Neurospora crassa OR74A: one gene and its partners. The protein of the gene in region 1 interacts with the protein of each later gene in a pairwise test. Links are inferred from orthologs where the notes say so. Each region holds a gene or a part of one and is shown in the gene's direction. Other genes may lie near its edges. The genes, in order: ck-1a, NCU01318 and cpc-3.

Region 1 (6,484 bases):
GCTGGTTCAGGATATTTGGGGGAAAAAAAAAAAAAGAAGAAAAAAAACAGTTCTAGTGTCAATGCCCCTCCAACTGGCATGTCGTCTGATACAAACGCTTTGGTAATCTGGGCATTGCTATGCGCAGGGATCATGGCATGTGTTTGCCGCTTCCAAAGATCGAGCCACGGGAAATCAGTGCCACCCTTGTCTGCCCCTTGGGTCGCGTTTTGGGCAGCAAAGCGGAGGCGAACCACCGGCGGACCTAAGGCTGGCTCCGTTATGCCTCGGGTGCATTCTGTGACTTCGTTGTCGGCCCATGGAAAGGTTTGAGATGAGGTTCTTTTGATAGCTTCTGACAGCCTCAGATAGAGAGTTCCTAAGCTGGTCATGTTTCCAAGGCTGCGAATTATGAAGATGCAGGTAGCGCCGGTTGATTGAACAGGATTTTCTCCGACACCGCCTTGTACGTGTAGTGTAGTTGGAAGATACACGTCGGTAGTATCTGCAAGGCCAGGGGGATTGAAATTCCGGGCACTGTCTTGGAGACGACCAGGTACCCCTAGCACGGCAGACCGAACATGAGCAATGGAAGGATATGTGTAGCCCTTTCCCTGTGAGGACTGAATGCTCTGCCGATTCTGAATGTACCTCTATGTATTCCATCCATTGGCAATTCGAAGAACAAACTATTGAATGATGGACTGAGGGGGTCGGACGGAGGTTGCTGGTTGTCGCAGCGAGGATAGTAGCGAGTGTACTTGCAAGAGCAGTGAGACGCTGACATGGAGGGCTTGGCCTCTCAGCCGCGCCTAACGTCCTCCAGATATACGACACAGTGCGCTCTTTTGAAGAGGTCCACTAGACCCGTGATCTTCGGCAGCGGTTTTTGAGATCTTATATTGACAGTTCTCGGTGTAGCTGTTCTCTGCAGGCTCTGTGGACGGCTTTTGTGTACACTACTGCGCAAGCGCCCGTCAAACAATATGGCTTGTCGTGACCGCTTTGATAGGCTCTCCCGTGGCTGCCGCCAACCACTTGACGTAGGTTCTTTGCATATCTAGCACGGAACTCTTGGGGCCTTGTGAGGAAGCTATGAGAGGAGATGACAGGAAGGGCGCTTTTGTTCGGTATGTTCCAAGCTGTCGGGACGCCAGTCGCAGAGGTTTTGTCCCACGGGGTGGGGAATGTTGATCGCTTTTGCAAACGACTGTCTGTGTGATTATGGTACAGAGCCCTGTCGTACGCAGAATGTACACTACACCGAGCTGTCAATCCCGCCATGGTTGAACGATGCGCCTTGCTTGTGTTTTGGTCCCTTCGTCTGATCTTTTGAAAGAGGGCTCCTGCATTCCGTCTGTCGTATAGTCTCCATAGTGAAACATCACAATGATGCAGTTGTGAACGGGGAAGAAGCGGGACATTGGTCACAGAATGTGTACTGCGTAGTGTTCTAAAGTAGTCAGAGAAGGCACCTGACTTGATCAAAGTGCCGTTCAATTCTCTTCGAAGCTGATATCGGATGGGTTATGGATGTCGTATTTGTCGCAATTGCTGTTGTAACGTATACCAGTCAGATTTAGTATTAATTTTGGGACCGGGAGCCAACCAAGCTAATATGATACAGCACAGACTCTCAATAGTACTGCGTACAGCAAGAGAACGAACTGAAAGCAGGCAGGCACTTTGGCACTGGATTGGCTATTGGGCCCCGTCCAGTTTCTGCCTAACAAAACGCTGAGCCTTCATTCCGACCTCTTCCACATTCACAGGGCGTAATATGGGAGGCGCGGTGTATCATGCCTTCCCTCGTAAATAGAGGTATGTAGAGGTAGAGGTACGGTGCGGTCCTGCCCGCATCATCAAGTATAAGCCTTTCGGTTACCTTACCTTACCGCAGCACGTTTGCCTTGCCCACGCAATGTCCACTGCAGTGCCGCCTGCATCCTATCCTGCCGTCGTAAGGTGTTGCCGGCGTCTTGCCTTGCCTGTTGGGGAACTGCAAATCAGCAGATTTTGTTTGTTTGAAAAGCAAGCCTGCATTCGGAGATCTTTGGATGACAGTTGGACATTGCCAGAGAAAAGGGCGCGCCCAGAAGCCACATGAAACTCCGCCCTCCAATGCCCTGGGCTGGCAGGCCTGGGACGCCTGGCCCTTGCCTGAGGTGGCTCGCTGTCCGACGGTGCAGTGAGAGAGCTCCAGTCATTTTTTGCCATCTCGCTCACCTTGGCACTGTGTCCGGCTTATTGCTTGGCCCGCACTGTGACACTGTGGATGGCGGCGGTGGATCACGGCTCCTCCACTTCCCGTCAGTTCGCCAGCTGGATGCCGCCAAGAACCAAGCCAAAAGAGCGCGCGCTGGCTGGGCCTGGTCGATCTGGCGAGCCTGGCTGGCACTTGGCGTTGCCGTCTCAAATCCTGCCAGTCCCCAGTCCCCCAGGTCGGTCGGCTGTCCAGAAGTCCCAGTCGGTCCCAGTCACCAAACTGCCTCCTCCTCCCTTCTCGCTGTCTCGTTTCCCTCTTCACATCGTCCTTTCCCTCGCCCCCCGTCTCACCACCGACGACCTAAAATTTCCCGGCGGCGACGACGACGGTAAGAGAACCTACCCCAACCACCAAAACAATCTCTTGTTTTTTTTCTTCCCCCGCATGCTGCACCATACATCAACACCAAGCCCGCGTCCATCAGCTTGCCGCTGCACGCTTCGTCTCGACTGCATTTTAACACATACCCGTACAGATTGAGCTGCATTTCATCGCCCCCGACGCTCCAACATCACTTAAGCAGCCTTCTTCGGCACGCACGCCCCTCTCGATTATTCATTGCCATCCTGGTCTCGACGACCCTTGAGCACAGCATTCGGTCTGCGACGACCGTTTACAAAAGGAGAACACATCCCGCCGAAGAGTGAGTTAAAACTTCCATCATCATTTCCGTCAGACGGGTTGTCGTTCCCAGCGAGCGAGGGAGGTTGCTGCACGCATTGTGGTGGTTCCACTCAGCTGCCGCCATGTATCGGTGAGCTGATTGTTGGCCCGTCCGCCAACCAATCTGCCCGCGCTGGCCGCATTTGCCCGCTGTTTGCCCGGATGCACACCGTCGCCATCGGTCACGACACCGACTTGATAGGCTTTTCAATAGCCTCGACACCCTTCTTGGCATGATGGTGGGAATGGCATCACTACAATGCTCCCCAAGGATGGCAGCGTCGCCCAGGCCATCGTTGAACACGTCCGTGTCGACATAGCCCTGATGGACAGTGTTGTCACGCCGTCCAGACGCTCCGTCTTCCAGGGCGATGCACGATGTGGATGTGTTTGCAGAGGTTTCTGGAAATGTTGCCGTCACCATTGACACATGGGCCACTTCATGGAGCAGTCGAACAACCTATTGTGACCGAGCCGGGCAAGGACTCCCACCCGAACACCTGGGACGACACTGGCCTTTCTCGACAGCTCAGCGTTCGACATCGTTGCGTATGCGTACCTTGATGGCCCTTTTACTGACATCTATCGGCTATAGTTACTGATCTTCTGGGATTCGTCTTTCTCCCCTATTAACCGCAAACATGACTACCATGGTACGCTTATCCGTCAATTCCGAATCACCACGGCCTCCTAGGCCTTTGGTTGCCAACGTCAAAGGTTGCATCCTGCTAACTGGAAGGCTAGGATCTCCGCGTCGGTAACAAGTACCGGATCGGTCGCAAGATCGGCTCTGGTTCTTTCGGTGACATTTACCTCGGCACCAACATCATCTCCGGTGAAGAGATTGCCATCAAGCTGGAGAGCGTGAAGGCCAAACACCCTCAACTAGAGTACGAGGCCCGCGTTTACAAGTCTCTCGCCGGTGGCGTTGGTATCCCCTTTGTCCGCTGGTTCGGCACTGAGTGTGACTACAACGCCATGGTCCTCGACCTTCTTGGCCCCAGCTTGGAGGATCTGTTCAACTTCTGCAACCGCAAGTTCTCTCTGAAGACTGTCTTGCTGCTTGCTGATCAGCTCATCTCCCGCATCGAGTACATCCATGCCAAGTCGTTCATCCACCGCGACATCAAGCCTGACAACTTCCTTATGGGGATTGGCAAGCGTGGCAACCAGGTCAACGTGATCGATTTTGGTCTTGCCAAGAAGTACAGAGATCCCAAGACTCACTTCCACATTCCTTACAGAGAGAATAAGAACCTTACTGGCACTGCCCGTTATGCCTCCATCAACACGCATCTCGGCGTCGAGCAGTCTCGCCGTGACGACATGGAGTCCCTTGGCTACGTCATGCTTTACTTTTGCCGCGGCTCCCTCCCGTGGCAGGGCCTTAAGGCTGCCACCAAGAAGCAGAAGTACGACCGCATCATGGAGAAGAAGATGACCACTCCTACCGAGGTTCTTTGCCGCGGCTTCCCCAACGAGTTTGCCATCTACCTCAACTACACTCGTTCCCTCCGCTTCGATGACAAGCCTGATTACAGCTATCTCCGCAAGATCTTCCGTGACTTGTTCGTCCGCGAAGGTTTCCAGTATGACTACGTCTTTGACTGGACCGTCTACAAGTACCAGAAGAACGCCCAGGCTATCCAGCAGGCTGCTGGCAACTCCAGCCAGCCCCAGCCTGCGGACTCCAAGGAGGCGGCCCAGGCTGCTGCTCGTAAGGACCCTCAGCAGGCCCTGAGGAGCGGATCCAGGAAGCCCATGACCGGCGAGACACCTGAGACCAGCCGTGCCGTCGGTGGCAGCGACAGGATGTGAGTTTGCCAGCCTAGCCCAGCATTCCTAGTAAGGAATCTTGTTTCCTTCGAGTTTGGTGTACTCAATAACGCTGGCCGGAGGTAGAATGCTGACATGATGGCTGACGTTCAGTTTGCGATAATAGGCTGCGCTCGGCTGCTAAAGGTCAAGGCGCTGGCTCCGGACATGTGGCCGGCAGGTATCGTCCTATGGAATGAGACTGCGGTTGCTCGCACATGGTATCTACTTGGAACAAGATCTTCGGCGGGTTGTTGGAGTAGCAGATTGCGCATTGGTCAAATGGTTTGATTCCTGCACCCGCCTTTCGTCATCCAACGTCCCTCGAGCGTCTGGATGGAGTGGAAGCGGATGGCTGTACCTGGCCAGCACCATCGACCGATGCATCTCCTCTACACAGCCAGACGGATTACTTGCGACAGATTGCTTCTCTTCGTTCTTCGGCATCTCTATCAGTTACTGCCCTTATTCATGGCTCGGACGGATCTTCGGTTTATGGCGGCAGTGCAGTTCGACTCTTGGTCGAATCTGTCTTGCTCCTATTTGACCGCAGACCTTACGAACGGCATGCCCAGTATCCCGGATTCCTGGGGTGCTGAAGTTGGAGACCTTGGCCTTTCCATGGGCCGAGGTTTAAAATGCCGTCGGAATTGCAGCAGCGGTCATGAGATACGGCTTGATCAAGACGGGCCATTTATGGCAAAAGTCTCGTTCGAGTCATGTCGTTGCGAGATAACAATAAGCATCTTCCCAGTCGGCATCCCGTTTCCCATTGTTTTGTTTTCGTTTACTATCATGCACGATTTCCTTTTGGTGTGTCATTTCTCTCGCATCGGGTCTCGCTTGTGGGGAGGCATTAGGGGACGAAGCGTTGCACCTTTTTGCGAAAGTCATATACATCAATTGTTGGTCAGTTGGTATTAGCTTGGAATCATGTAGCAGAGTTCAGGTCACGGGGTGGTTATTGGTCTATGGCGCCTATGTGCCAAAGTTTCCGTCCAGACGATGGAGATTTCGTGAATGCGGCCACTGCTCAGTGACACGGCGAGGTCCTAAGTTCGATCGGCTGGAGGTTCTGGGTTGGACAAGCAGAGATAGCCTCTTAGCTCATGCTCGAAGATTCCTGGACGCATCTGCTGGCGCGGTGGCTTTCCATATCGACACGATGGTTACGCGTTCACGACCTCGTACCCAAATCGAAATATCAGGAGCACCGCATATAGAGAAGGGCACCTTTCAGCCGCCTGCTTTTGTGGGAGAGCTTTGACCTTGGGATATTTCGGGGACTTGGCTGACATCATGGAGACAAGACGGATATGACTGGTATACACCACGTGGAAAGAGCTCGGGCAACATGAAATTCAAGCTAGTTCTCCTAATACACGTCTCATATCTTAGCCCAATTGGACCGTTGCCGAAGTTGTGTCTGCGTGCATATAGCTTCCATGAGCAAGATAAACGTGCTGTTCTGCAGTTACCTAATTCTCTTGTCTGTCCAAATGGGGTTATTGATTACATGTGCTGGTGAAGCCACCGACGGCTCAGCCTTGATTACCAGCGTACGGGCTGGCCGAATTGACCCTAAGACAAGCAAAACAGCGGTGTCTGAAAGAGGCTGTAATGTCTACGTCACACCTCTGGTCCAATCACAACATTTCCAATCCTACCATGGCTTTAGGGCCTGTGTACCGCGGCGATGGGAACATGATAGATATGATAATAAATACAAAAGTAAATAAAAAGGATGCTACCATCATCACG
Region 2 (6,484 bases), on another chromosome or scaffold:
GAGGAGGAGTTGGTGGGAGTCGAGGGCGAGGAGGCGTCGCTGTTGTCGGTGGCTTTGAAGTTTTGGTTGGCGAAGACGGACTCTAGTTGGCTGTTGGTGAAGCCGGATTCGGGTTTTCGGCCTCTGTTATTCGATGCAAGGTGGGACTGGTTAGTGATTATTCTAATTTGTTTGGGTGTTGGTCTTTTTTTGAAGGAAGTTGAAGGTTACTTACTTGTCGTTATAGTATGACTGAATCGCAGAGGCAGGCGAGTACGAGGTTTGGTTCGCTTTGTAAGTGTCTGTGATCTTTAAAGTAGCAAGATCAAACACCGCGATGCCTTGTGGGAATGGATCAGTAGTCGTGAAAACGCCCTTATACAATGTTATGGGCCCTTCTCTCGTAGTGTCGACGCCTCCGATTGTTATAATTTGACCACCGCCGACGGCGTTGCAGCTGAGGGAGTGTCTGGGATTCCGCGCTGTGTAGGGCGCTTTGGTCCAATAAAACCCAGGCAGGGTGAGCACGTAGGCATCGTCGAAGGGTACGGATGCGCCGCCCAAATGACCACCCCAGCCGGCGTAGATGAGAATCTCGTAGGTCTGGTTGTCCGATGCCACTCCTGCCATACAGTATTCCTGCCTTGGTGCGGGGGGAGTGCCTGATGTGCTTTGTTCGAACCAAGCTCTGCTGTCAATGTCGAAGATGCGTGCTGTGCCCAGGGAAACGCGCTTGTCGTCGTCGTTGTCTGTCTTCAATTTCGCGATGAGACCTCCCACGGAAACGAGGATGCCCTTTTTGCCAAAGTTGGGAACGTAAAGCATGCTTCCAAATTGCTCCGACCCCTGTGTGGAAGCAAGGTTAACGGTTTCGTTGGTGACCTTCTTCGATGCAAAGTCGTACGTAAGAAGGCTGCTCATCGGTGCCTCGGTGAGATCCGACGCATTGGTACCGAACCTCTCATAGCCTGTTGATCGAGGTCAGCTTCACGGATCTCCTACAAAGAAGTCTCCAAGGCCGCTGATAGTAAGCTTGCGTACCTCCGAGGAAGTAGCCAAAACCATTGCCACTGGCTGTTTTGCCTTTGTATGGTCTCGGCTGTTCCGTAAACGTCTTGTCTGCAGTGTTGTTCAGGTTTTGCCAGGTTCCGCCTCCTGTGCCATCTGGTTTGAATGACCATAGGCCTTGAGGCTGATCGGCGTTATCTCCAAAATTAGACTTGGTGCCGGCGAATCCCGTGTATAAGACACCATCCGTCTCATCTACCCAAAGCCCTCCGCCAGCGAGGTTGGCGGCACCGGGCGGTTTGGATGTTGAGTCGAACCGAACTGAATCACTTGTCCAGTCCTGGGACAAATCGATAGAAAGCAGGGAGTTCGCTACGGAAGAGTTAGGATATTCCATAGTTTCAAGAGTTAATGCGTGGAGAGTCTTACAGTATTGAAAGGTGATGTCAGTACCGCTGTAGTACGAGACCTCACCGCCGTCAATGTACACGCGCCCGTTTAAAACCGCGGCTTTGGTTCGATTAGCCAGATGGTCATGATGCACTGAGAAAAAGACAATGACGGCAATGCTCACACGATTGATAGCCTCTGCGCAGAAATGTCGAGGGACTGATAGCACCGTTAACCTGTCGTGGAAGGATGATTGATTCATCTGCCTTGGGTAGGGTGATAGTGCTACCCGCCTGGCAAATCCACGGCTGTATTACACAGCACAGAAGGGAAGTCGACCTCCTGACCATGATGACTGATTTCAGAGGGCAACAAGAGAGAGAAGAGAAGAATGGGAGAGGAGGAAGAAATTTCTGAGCAAAATGCTACGCGTGTCAGCTTTCTACCCACGAAAAGGGCTAGCTCCCCTGAAGCGCCATCGAGACATGGTGGTAGGTGATGATCCTATAGGATCCGACTGTAATTATAAACGAGGTCGGGAGAGGTGAGCCACGGTAATATCACCGTGGACTGTCAATGGTGCCTGTTGACTGCTACCTGGCGGCTGCTCGGCCCCTTTCGTATCTTAGCGTACCCAAGGGTTGCATCAAGTCAGCACTACAGTAGGAGATAAGGCTGATCCCTACTCGTCGAGTAACAAGTAAAAGTGAGCCTGCTCAGAACAGAGAGGGTGATCACCGGAGAGCGGGCGTTTGTGCGATGCAGCACAGCCGCGAGTTTACCATCTGCTGGCTTGACTGACTGAGCCTGCGAGCGAGCGAGTTGTTTGATTGAGTTCCCCCGCGACAGGCGGATTCTTCAGGATAACCCGACGGTAACACAAAAAGGTATTTTGGTCGTGCTCGACACAGTGGGCTGAAACAGGATGGGGCGAGCAGGGTACGGTTCTTGAAGAACACCAAATGCTGGCATGAGTGGTAGGATCGACACAAGACCGAGCATTAGGACAGAGATGCGAGCAGGCTAATCAGAGCTAGCCAAAACTCAACGGCCAGCCGGCCACAGGTCGGAATCATGACTGGAGCCCAAGGGTAACGGAATCAAAGCTTGACGTCTCCCGAGGCGTCGATGGTGAGGGCAAGCATACGATGCTGAATAGGTACCTATTCAATTTCCATGTCGAGATGTCGCGATTCGCCAATGTTGTTTTTCATTCATGATCCGACGCCGCGGGAACATCACTGCACCGGGAAAACACTTGGTACATCCGACAATTTCGTGCTGACGGAACAAAGGTTGCAACTTGCAGCTTGGAGATGCAGTTTACCACGGCGGCCGCGGTGGCACGGTGAGGTAAGTGGTGATTGGCGTCAGCTCGTCGGCTACGCACCAGCTGGCAAGCAGCCTCCCGTCGTCTGTCAGCAGAGCTGCCCCCTGCCTTTCGATGGAGGGGAACGAGGTACCTGTCCTTTTCAACAACTGGAGGGGAGCAAATGACAACAGAGCCGCAAATCAGAAATTGATACTATCGCCTGTTGCAGTCGGCTTCCATTGCAGTAGAAGCGATTGGGGTATTTCTGAACATTTTGATCCCATCACCTTGTCGCAAACGACTTGACCGATTGCAGAAGAGCAGCGCGTCGTTAACTCTGTGATCTTGCGCAGGGCTTCCTGGACGACAGTCAACACTTTAAAGTGGACCTTGAATTTTCAGGAGCGTCGAAAAAGAGGTTCTTCAGTTCAGTTGTTGCATCTTCCTGGCGACACACCACAACTGGGATCCCGTCCATACCTTATTGCCTCCCCCCGCGGTATGTACTCGCACGGAGCCCGCTTTTCCCCCTAGCTTCCACATCTAGCCTCAGGTCCCGCCTGCCGCAAGACAGCTGCTGTGGACTGTGTGGTGGACGGTGGATGTCTCGAGTGTCTCGTGCGTTCCAGGTCTCGGAGCTAATGACACCTTGCACGTAGCCGCCCGACGACGTTGCCCGTTGCCCGCCGCCCGCCCCGTACCTATCTCTGGAGCTACCACCGCGTAGACGACGGATCATCCACATTAATTCCCTTAATCTTCTAATCCAACAAACCGCCGACACCACCATCACCCCTCTCCAGCTGTTCCTCTCTATCCCCGACTGCGACCATCGACCGAGGACGCCGCCGCCGACATCAACATGGATTACGAAGCCCTCAAGGAGCAATGGGGCGAGGTCGAGGACCGTGATGGCGTTCGTCTGAGCTGGAATGTCTTCCCCAGCACCCGCATGGTCAGTTCCGCTCTTTCGCATACTTGCTACTTCGCGTCACCCCTTTATCGCTGACCCTTTCTTCAGGAAGCTTCGAGACTCGTCGTCCCCATCGGCGCCCTTTATACCCCTCTCAAGGAGAAGCCCGACACGCCTCTGCTGCAGTTCGACCCCGTCAGTTGCAAGCAGCCCTGCCGCTCCGTGTTAAACCCCTACTGGTGAGCCATCTTCGTCGCCCCGACTTGTCGCGCCCATTGCTGATACCCTCGCCCAGTCAAGTCGATGTGCGCGCCCGCCTGTGGATCTGCCCCTTCTGTCTCTCGAGGAATCCTCTCCCGCCACACTACAAGGACATCACCGCAAATGCGATTCCACCCGAGCTGCACCCTTCCAACACTACCATCGAGTACAGGCTCTCGCGGCCCGCCCCCGCCCCTCCGATCTTCCTCTATGTCGTCGATACGTGCCAGGAGGAGGACAGCTTGGCTGCTCTCAAGGAGTCGCTCATCATGAGCTTGAGCCTATTGCCCGAGCACGCCCTTGTCGGCCTGATTACATACGGCACCATGGCCCAGGTCCACGAGATTGGCTATACCGAGTGCCCTAAATCATATGTTTTCCGCGGTAACAAGGAGTACGCGGCCAAGCAGGTCCAGGAGATGCTTGGGCTCGTACAACCTGCCATGCGTCCGGGCATGCCTATGCAACAGCCTGGCAGGCCCTTCCCGGCCGGCCCTGCCTCAAGATTCTTGCTTCCGGTCTCTCAGGCCGAGTTCCAGTTGACCAAGGCCATTGAGCAGCTTCAGAAGGATCCCTGGCCTGTTGCCGGTAACCTCAGAGCCTTGCGCTGCACCGGTGTTGCGTTGTCCGTAGCTGTTGGCCTGCTCGAAACGTCGTTCCAGAATGCCGGTGGTCGCATTATGCTCTTTGCTGGTGGTCCGGCCACTGAGGGACCTGGCATGGTTGTTGGCCCCGAGCTGAGGGAACCGATCCGCTCCCATCACGATATCGACCGTGACAACATCAAGTATTACAAGAAGGCACTCAAGGTACGTTCATCTTCAAGTTGTGGTGCAGGAAACAGTCTGTGTCATGCTAACATTTATTATAGTTCTACGACAACCTCGCTAAGCGAACGGCGCACAACGGCCACACTATTGACATTTTTGCCGGCTGTCTTGATCAAGTTGGTCTACTTGAAATGAAGGGTCTGTGCAACTCGACGGGTGGCCACATGATTCTGACGGACAGCTTCACCTCATCCATGTTCAAGCAGTCATTCGTCCGCATTTTCGAAAAGGACGCGGATGACAATCTGCTCATGGGCTTCAATGCGGTTTTGGAAGTACTTACAACGAAGGAACTCAAGGTTACTGGGTTGATTGGTCATGCAGTCTCTCTCAACAAAAAATCGACGTCCGTCGGCGAAACCGAGTGCGGCATAGGTAACACTTGCACGTGGAAGATGTGCGGTATCGACCCCAGCTCCAGCTACGGTATCTACTTCGAAATCGCCAACCAAGGCGGCCCGTCCCAGAACATGCAGAGTCCCCAAAAGGGAATGATGCAGTTCTTGACTTATTACCAGCACTCGTCTGGCCACTTCCACCTTCGGGTGACCACCATTGCCCGAAACCTCAGCGGCCCCGCCGGAGACCCGGCCATCGCGCAGTCATTTGACCAGGAGGCAGCAGCCGTGCTTATGTCGCGTATCGCTGTTTTCAAGGCGGAGGTTGACGATGGGCCTGATGTGCTCCGGTGGGTTGACCGCATGCTCATCAGGCTCTGCGCCAGATTTGCCGATTACCGCAAGGACGACCCGTCATCGTTCCGCTTGGAAAAGAACTTCACGCTGTACCCACAGTTCATGTTCCACTTGCGTAGGAGTCAGTTCTTGCAAGTCTTTAACAACTCTCCCGATGAGACCGCATTCTATCGGCACGTTCTCAACCATGAGGATGTTAGTAACTCGCTCATCATGATTCAACCAACGCTCGACTCCTACACCTTCGACCAAGAAGGCGGTGTCCCCGTTCTGCTCGACTCTACCTCCATTCAGCCTACCCACATCCTCCTGCTCGATACCTTCTTCCACATTCTGATCTTCCATGGTGAGACGATTGCGGAATGGAGAAAGGCCGGCTACCAAGACCAAGAGGGATACGAGAACTTTGCTGCGCTTTTGGAGCAGCCCAAGGAAGATGCAAGGGTAAGTTGTCTCCTGTTCATCTCTGATCGAATTATGTTGGGGCTTTTTTTCTGACCGTGTACAGGATCTTATTACCGACCGTTTCCCTCTCCCTCGTTTCATTGTTTGCGACCAGGGCGGTTCCCAAGCTCGTTTCCTGCTTTCTAAGCTTAACCCTTCCACTACCCATACATCAGGTGCTGGCGCCTATGGCGGTGTTGGAGCTCAGAGCGCCCAGACTATCTTCACCGACGATGTTTCTCTCCAGACCTTCATGGAGCATCTCATGAAGCTTGCCGTGAGTGGAACCAACTAAATGTGAGGGCAGTGGACAGGCCGAGTGAGAGGCTGGAAGTGAGTGATGAAGTTAAATGCAAGCCCCGGAAACGGCGGACGACCTTTTTGGAATTGTCTAGCGTTAGTTTTATGTGGACTTATACGAGCACACAAATAGATCACATCATTAATATAAATCCAGTGTGCTGTGTTTGATGATCTCCAGGTCCATTTGGAGTTTTGCCACTGATGGGATGTCGTTGTGATCCTCTGGGCGGCAGACTGGAGGCCTTGGCCTTCTGTCTTCATCAGACTCAGGGGGTTTGTTTTGCCTAGTTTGGCAGGTGTTGGCAGGCGAACGTAGCGGTTGCAGCACAGCGCTAAGTAACGGACCATG
Region 3 (6,484 bases), on another chromosome or scaffold:
TAGACCAGATTGTCGAAGGGATCCGCGATATCCTGGAGGAAGCCGCTCAGAAAAAGGTCCAGGGGCTGGAGATCCCCTCCTTGGAAGAGGAGAGGGCAGCCCACGAAGCAGAGCTGGCAAGGTTAGCGCAGAGCGAAAAGGAGCGAGAGGAACGGAAGAAGCTCGAAGAGAGCAAGGAGGAAGAAAGAGTCCTCGAAGACATGCTCCAGGAAGAGCTCAAGCGCCAGCGAAATAAAGCAAAAGAATCCAGAAAGAAGAACAGGAGCCATCAATTATCCCCTGACCGTGCTCCGCAAGATCCCGGCGAGACTGACGAGACGCTCATGTTTGATCAGCCCTGCAAGATCACTGATGGCTCTGGTAATGCCTTGTTCTTCCAAACCGTCATTGGCAAAACTGTCTTTCGCGAAGGTCCCATCACCACCGTCTACAAGGTCAAACCAGTCCTGTCCGCCAGAACAGTGCGCCCTAGCCTAGCCTTGAAGCAAGTAGAAGTCAAGTCACACGGAAAGGATTCGGCTCAGTTCAAGAAGCAGCTGCAGTATCTAGAGTCGCAGATGGAAACACTGAAAAAGCTTCGCCATCAGAATCTGCTTCCCTTCCTTGACTTCAGGATCGATCGAGGCATCAGCGACACCGATTCTTCTGCGCCGACCATCTGGACCGTCAGCATTCTGACGCCCCTCGCCACCAAGGGGCCCATTGAAGAGCTTCTCGATCTAGCGGGCCATATTGACACCAACAAGGCAAAGATATGGACGGCCGACCTTCTGGAAGCACTTGCATTCCTACACAACAACGGAATCATTCATCAAGACCTTCACCCAGCCAACATTCTCCTCTACAGAAACGAGGCGGGGGATATAGTGCCTAAAATCACTGATTCTTTTTATCAGAGGGAGCTTCACAACCTCTGTACAAAGATAAAGACGCTGACATCCTCAAAAGCCGCCAAATCCGCATACTGGTTTCCGCCCGAAATTGCAGGTGTAACGAAGCCTCAATACACTCAAAAGACCGATGTCTGGGACTTTGGCATCGTCTTTCTTCAGATGATCTTCGGTTTGGATGTTGTCGAAAAGTATCATTCGCCTTCCGCACTGATGGATTCTCTTTCCTTGTCGGCTCCGCTGGAAGAACTGGTCTCCAAGTTCTTCAAGTCCGACCCCAAGAAGCGGCCGCGGGCTTTTGAGTTGAGCTCAAGCGAATTCCTTGCTACCAATGCGCCCATTATCGATGACGAGGACATTGCTGTGCCGGGTTCCCTGATGCCCATGCCGCAAATGACCCCGCAGAGGATGAGGCACGACTCGATGAGTCGCGGACCCATGTCTTCCAGATACCGACAGGACTATGTGGAAGAGGCTCGTCTTGGAAAAGGAGGGTTCGGAGAGGTTGTCCGAGCCCGCAAGATGATTGACGGACACCTATACGCCATCAAAAAAATCACACAAAGGTCTCAAGAGACACTTTCAGAGATCCTAAAGGAAGTCCGACTGCTTTCCCAGATGAACCATCCGGCTGTTGTCAGATACTACAATACATGGCTGGAGGAGGTGCCGGACTACGCGGACACAGAAGGCGATACTTCAACCGAAGGCGGCGCTACAGACGTTACAGACAACTCTCAGGTCACGATATCCCACGGCATAAATATTGAATTTGCCGAGAGCAAAAGCAGAGGTCTAGATTTCATGTCCTCCAGTGGGCACCCGGGCATTGAGTACGACTACAGCTCGAGTGAAGAAGAGGATGACGACGAAGATGAAGACGATGAAGAGGATGAATCCGACAATGACTCAAATGACGATGCTGCCACTGTAAGCGGCAAGAACCACCTTGGTGTCACAGGACGGCGTCCTCGACGGGGAAGTGCTCGCCCATACAAGACCGTGATGTATATTTCCATGGAGTATTGCGAGAAGCGGGTAGGTTCCCATTATGCCAAAACCAAAATCCGAATGGCAACACTGACAGTTCTATAGACACTGCGCGACTTGATTTCTCGGAATCTGTCTAAGGAAACAGCTGAGATCTGGCGCTTATTCCGCCAAATTCTAGAAGGGCTCTGCCACATTCACAGCCTCAACATCGTTCACCGTGACCTCAAGCCCGAGAATATCTTCATCTCTTCTGGACCTGACGGCCTGGATAATGTAAAGATCGGCGATTTTGGGCTGGCCACTAGCGGACAGTTGGCGATAGACAGGTCAACAGCAAGCTTGGATGCAAGCGACATGACCAGGAGCATTGGCACAGCAGTTTATGTCGCCCCTGAGGTCCGGACGGGTGGCAGCGGCTCTTATACATCAAAGGTGGATGTAGGTTTTTCCCATCCTCCTTGCAAGACTAGACTGACATCATCCCTAGATGTATTCCTTGGGCGTGATTTTCTTCGAGATGTCGTACCCTCCCATGCTTGGAATGCAGCGCGCCATGGTCCTTGAGCAGCTGCGCCAATCCCCTCCCATTTTGCCCGCTGACTTCAAACATATGGATAAAAACCATCTCGAGGTCCTGTTGTCACTGCTGACTCACAACCCTAAAGAGCGCCCTTCGAGCTCAGAGCTTATGAAGAGTGGCAAGCTTCCGATTCAGATGGAAAGCGAGGCGATACGGCGTGCGATTGCTGGATTGTCGGATCCCAACTCACCTTACTACCAAAAGATGCTCGAAACTTTATTCTCCAGGCCAATCGAACAAGCAAAGGATTACGCTTGGGACATGTCTTCATCTGGGCCATCACCCCAAGAACTCATGCGACAGTTCATCGTCAAGGACACCTTGATATCCATCTTCCGGCGACACGGTGCGGTTGAGGCTCCTACGGTCTGTCTGTATCCCAGCTCTTCGCATTATGGCCAAAACGCGGTCCATCTCCTCGACCAGAATGGTACGGTTCTTCAGTTGCCCTTCGATCTCATGATGGGCCATGCTCGCTCTCTCGCAAGGATCACGAACAGCCCCGTTGTTCAGAAGTCATACTCCTTTGGCAACATATTCCGTGATCGTCACGGCGGTGGTCAGCCTGATGTGTACGGAGAAGTCGACTTTGACATTGTCACTTCAGACGCCTTAGACCTTGCCTTGAAAGAGGCCGAGGTCATCAAAGTTCTGGATGAGATTGCGACTGCGTTCCCTACTGTGTCGTCTACTCCCATCTGCTTCCAGCTGGGGCATTCGGACCTCTTGAATCTTATCTTTGAGTACTGCGGCGTGGAAGTGGGCACACGCAGGGCTGCTGCTGAGGTCCTCAGTAAGCTCAACATTCGCAATTTCACTTGGCAAAAGGTGCGTGGAGAGCTTAGATCACCCATGGTGGGTATATCGGCAACCAGCGTAGACGAGCTGCAGAGATTTGACTTCAGAGGTAAGTGTGACTTTACACCACGAACATACTTACGCCATCAACTAACCACTTGTTTTAGATACCCCGAGCAAGGCCATCGCGAAGATCAAGCTTCTTTTCGAAGGAACGGAATACTACCAACAGGCTTCATCAACATTGGCCCATCTCAAAGAAGTGTACGAATATACCAAGCGGTTCGGAGTACAAAACAAAATCTACATTGCCCCTTTAAGCAGCATCAACGAAGCCTTCTTCCGCGGTGGCATCCTCTTTTCTTGCCTGTACGACAAAAAGGTCAAGGATGTCTTCGCCGCCGGTGGCCGCTACGACAGCTTGATTAAGGAACATCGTCCCAAGATCGGCAACCGGTTTGAAGAGCGCCATGCGGTCGGCTTCAGCTTGAACTGGGAGAAGCAGCTCGCCAAGCCCGTCCCGAAGGCCACCGGCAAAACATTCCTCAAGAAGGCGGCCGAAGAAGAGAGTCAAGGCCTCTTCAACATCAAACGCTGCGACGTCCTTGTCGCTTCCTTCGACCCGGAAGTCCTCCGCTCCTCTGGTATTGAGCTCGTCCAGACGCTTTGGGCGCACTCCATCTCGGCCGAGCTGGCCCGTGACGCCCGCTCGCCCGAAGACCTGCTCTCCAAGTACCGCGACGAGTCGTACTTGTGGGTCGTCATCATCAAGCAGGACAACATGCTCAAGATCAAGAGCATGGCCCGCAAGGACGCGCCCGACGCCGATATCCCCGCCAAGGAGCTGCTCAACTGGCTGAAGGCCGAGATGCGCGAGAATAGGGACGCTCTCATGCGGGGCACGGGCAGCGGCAGTATATCTTCGGGAGCGGCCATCAAGTTCCGCGGCGGCGGCGGCAGCGGTGGCGGAGGCGGTCTCTCGTCCTTTGGCACGAACAACTCGGAGTTGAACAGCGGGTTGTTCCTAGGTGCGGACGGCGAGCGCGAGCAGGAGGTGCACGTGCTCGTGGCGCAGACAAAGAGCAAGAAGTTCAACCGCCGGCAGGTGGTGGAGCAGGCGCAGATGAGTGCGGCGAAGCTGTTGCAGAGCTTTCTGGACGGGCCGATTGCCGCAATCGAGACTTCGGATAGCGTGATGGATATGATACGGCGGACGAGCCTGAGCGATGCGGAGAGCTGGCGCAGGGTGGAACACAATGTGGGCACGAGCGAGAAGAAATATGTCAAGGAGATTCACGATATGTTGAAGGGGTGGAGGTGGGAGTGGGAGGCCAAGAAGGGATCGGAGCACGCGTTTGTGTATAATTTCAGGACGGGGAGGTGCATCTATTACGACTTGTCGGCTTGATCGGGTCGGCAGGGTATTGAAGCCCTGGGGAGGTGCCTAGCTGGGTAGGATACGTTGGCGATGGTGGGTTGGATGTGTGTATAATAGGTATACAGTTGTAAGGCTAGTAATCCCACCCGAAGGCATCACTGCTCTTTCAAATCGTCCGATGTTCCTCTTGCTTTTCGTCTATGGTGATCCCCTGAAACACCAACTCAACCTGAGTCAGCCTCCTATACAGAACCCTAACCCTTCTGTCACAAGTGAAACGCCCAACCATCTCACTACGGGAAGATCACCCTGCTGGCCAACAAGAAGTTCGTTCGCACACAAGAAGCCAGGAAGAAGACCGATTGCGGAGGAACTGACCATCAAGGTCCTTGCCTACTGTTACCCACCGGATCTTCTAACTGCCTGGCACGGACGTTTCCCATCCATGGTTTACGAGAAAATGGGAACCGCTGCCAGTATGCAAACGAATCGATCCATCTTCTTCCCTCATGTTGGGCAACACGTTACCTGTACCTACTCTTATTTACAGCAAAGTGTTGTGAATGACGGGTATATGATGCTTGGAAACAGATGCGAATGTGGATTCGATTTAAGGCATCGATCATTTGTTGTCTGGGCAGTCAACAGGACAACATGGAACTGCGTCACTTCTTTGTAGCTTCAGTGGACCGTGACGGGATCTAGTGTACTTGGGAAATTGTTAGTGCATCCTCTGAAACATCCGATAACTGCAATTCTGACCACCACCAATATGCCCTATCACCATGGGATGCTCATTTGTCAGTGGCAAAGGAACTGCACCGTCGTGTCGTCCCGTCTCCTTGCGGGTAGATTGTACATGATTGTCTGATGGGCCCCCCCTTTGCCAGAGAAAAAAAAAAAAAAAAAGGCCGTTCTGGGAGGTTCCGCCTGCTTTGTAAAGGTTGACGGGCAATTACAATACGATAATATGGAAGGGCGGGGATTACGGCCTCCCTCCTTTGACGATACTCCTGTCAGGTGTATTGGTCTTATGTAGAGGTAGGTACCTATGCCGAGAGCCCGAGACCGCCATTGTGCAGCGGTGTTGACCACCATTAACAAACGTAAGGCGAGACATGCAGTTGTTAGGATTCCTCAGTGCCTCGCTCAGCTCGGCTGCTGCACCACCATGGGAGAAGGAAGTTGGGCAATGACGGGACCATCACAAATGGTCTGGGTCGGTTGCTTCGTGTAGACTTAGGTTAAGTTGAGAGTGCGTGCTAGAGACTGCCCAACCTTCTATCCGGGTCCTCGCTCCGAGGAACCCAAGGGAAGCGTGACCCTGCCATGATTCCATCGCTCACATCGTAGTAGTGTAGTTCACACACCTTTTCCTGATCCGGTTGTGACGTTCGTACGCCCTTCCACTTTTCCTCCCGTCTGACCCTGCTTTCTCCTGACTCGCAACCTCTCTATTGTTCCAGATTGTCACCGCCCAGCCCTTGATTTCCAACCCACTTCCCAAAGACCACCATCGTGACAAACCGTGAACTTCTATCCCGACCGTCCGTGCTTCCATAGAGTCTGTTCCCATTGTTTGGTTATCGTTATCATTCCATCCCTCTTCAAAAGATCAATACCCACCCCGGCCTTCACCACCGACCGTCTAACAATCTTCCCCAAACACCCGCCCGCCTCTTGCCAACATCCCCTCAAACTACAAATACCACCATTTTCCTCTCGAGGCCCCCGATCTTGCGCACGAGAGGGATCTTCGTCAGCACTTTACGTGTCGATCCCTTGACGAGCCACCACAACATATCTACTTCACCACCACCGCCACCACCAACGAAGTAAAGTGGG

Evidence for each region.
Region 2: the proteins of ck-1a (region 1) and NCU01318 interact in binary tests that used the Saccharomyces cerevisiae proteins (3 or more experiments, as listed by UniProt). The link is inferred for Neurospora crassa OR74A from reciprocal best matches to the Saccharomyces cerevisiae genes HRR25 and SEC23.
Region 3: the proteins of ck-1a (region 1) and cpc-3 interact in binary tests that used the Saccharomyces cerevisiae proteins (3 or more experiments, as listed by UniProt). The link is inferred for Neurospora crassa OR74A from reciprocal best matches to the Saccharomyces cerevisiae genes HRR25 and GCN2.

Annotation. Positions count from the first base shown.
Region 1 is NC_026501.1:7,560,889-7,567,372, forward strand, and holds ck-1a (casein kinase I), read left to right. Parts: upstream 1-2,457; 5' UTR 2,458-2,573; intron 2,574-2,720; 5' UTR 2,721-2,888; intron 2,889-3,503; 5' UTR 3,504-3,549; coding exon 3,550-3,561; intron 3,562-3,652; coding exon 3,653-4,722; coding exon of another isoform or gene 4,723-4,726; exon of another isoform or gene 4,727-4,837; coding exon of another isoform or gene 4,838-4,847; exon of another isoform or gene 4,848-4,850; coding exon 4,851-4,923; 3' UTR 4,924-6,464; downstream 6,465-6,484. UniProt on the Saccharomyces cerevisiae protein: Protein kinase which phosphorylates serine and threonine residues. Can use casein as a substrate. Phosphorylates elongator complex member ELP1/IKI3 on 'Ser-1198' and 'Ser-1202' which promotes the tRNA modification function of the complex.
Region 2 is NC_026505.1:3,643,044-3,649,527, reverse strand, and holds NCU01318 (protein transporter sec-23), read left to right. Parts: upstream 1-2,871; 5' UTR 2,872-3,188; intron 3,189-3,348; 5' UTR 3,349-3,551; coding exon 3,552-3,644; intron 3,645-3,710; coding exon 3,711-3,841; intron 3,842-3,897; coding exon 3,898-4,672; intron 4,673-4,734; coding exon 4,735-5,832; intron 5,833-5,896; coding exon 5,897-6,127; 3' UTR 6,128-6,298; downstream 6,299-6,484. Other genes in the region: NCU01319 (hypothetical protein), read right to left, coding at 1-123, 215-947, 1,021-1,359, 1,417-1,497, 1,562-1,727. UniProt on the Saccharomyces cerevisiae protein: Component of the coat protein complex II (COPII) which promotes the formation of transport vesicles from the endoplasmic reticulum (ER).
Region 3 is NC_026505.1:3,170,225-3,176,708, forward strand, and holds the end of cpc-3 (cpc-3 protein), read left to right. Parts: coding exon 1-1,928; intron 1,929-1,985; coding exon 1,986-2,321; intron 2,322-2,370; coding exon 2,371-3,370; intron 3,371-3,428; coding exon 3,429-4,669; 3' UTR 4,670-4,813; downstream 4,814-6,484. UniProt on the Saccharomyces cerevisiae protein: Metabolic-stress sensing protein kinase that phosphorylates the alpha subunit of eukaryotic translation initiation factor 2 (eIF-2-alpha/SUI2) on 'Ser-52' in response to low amino acid, carbon, or purine availability.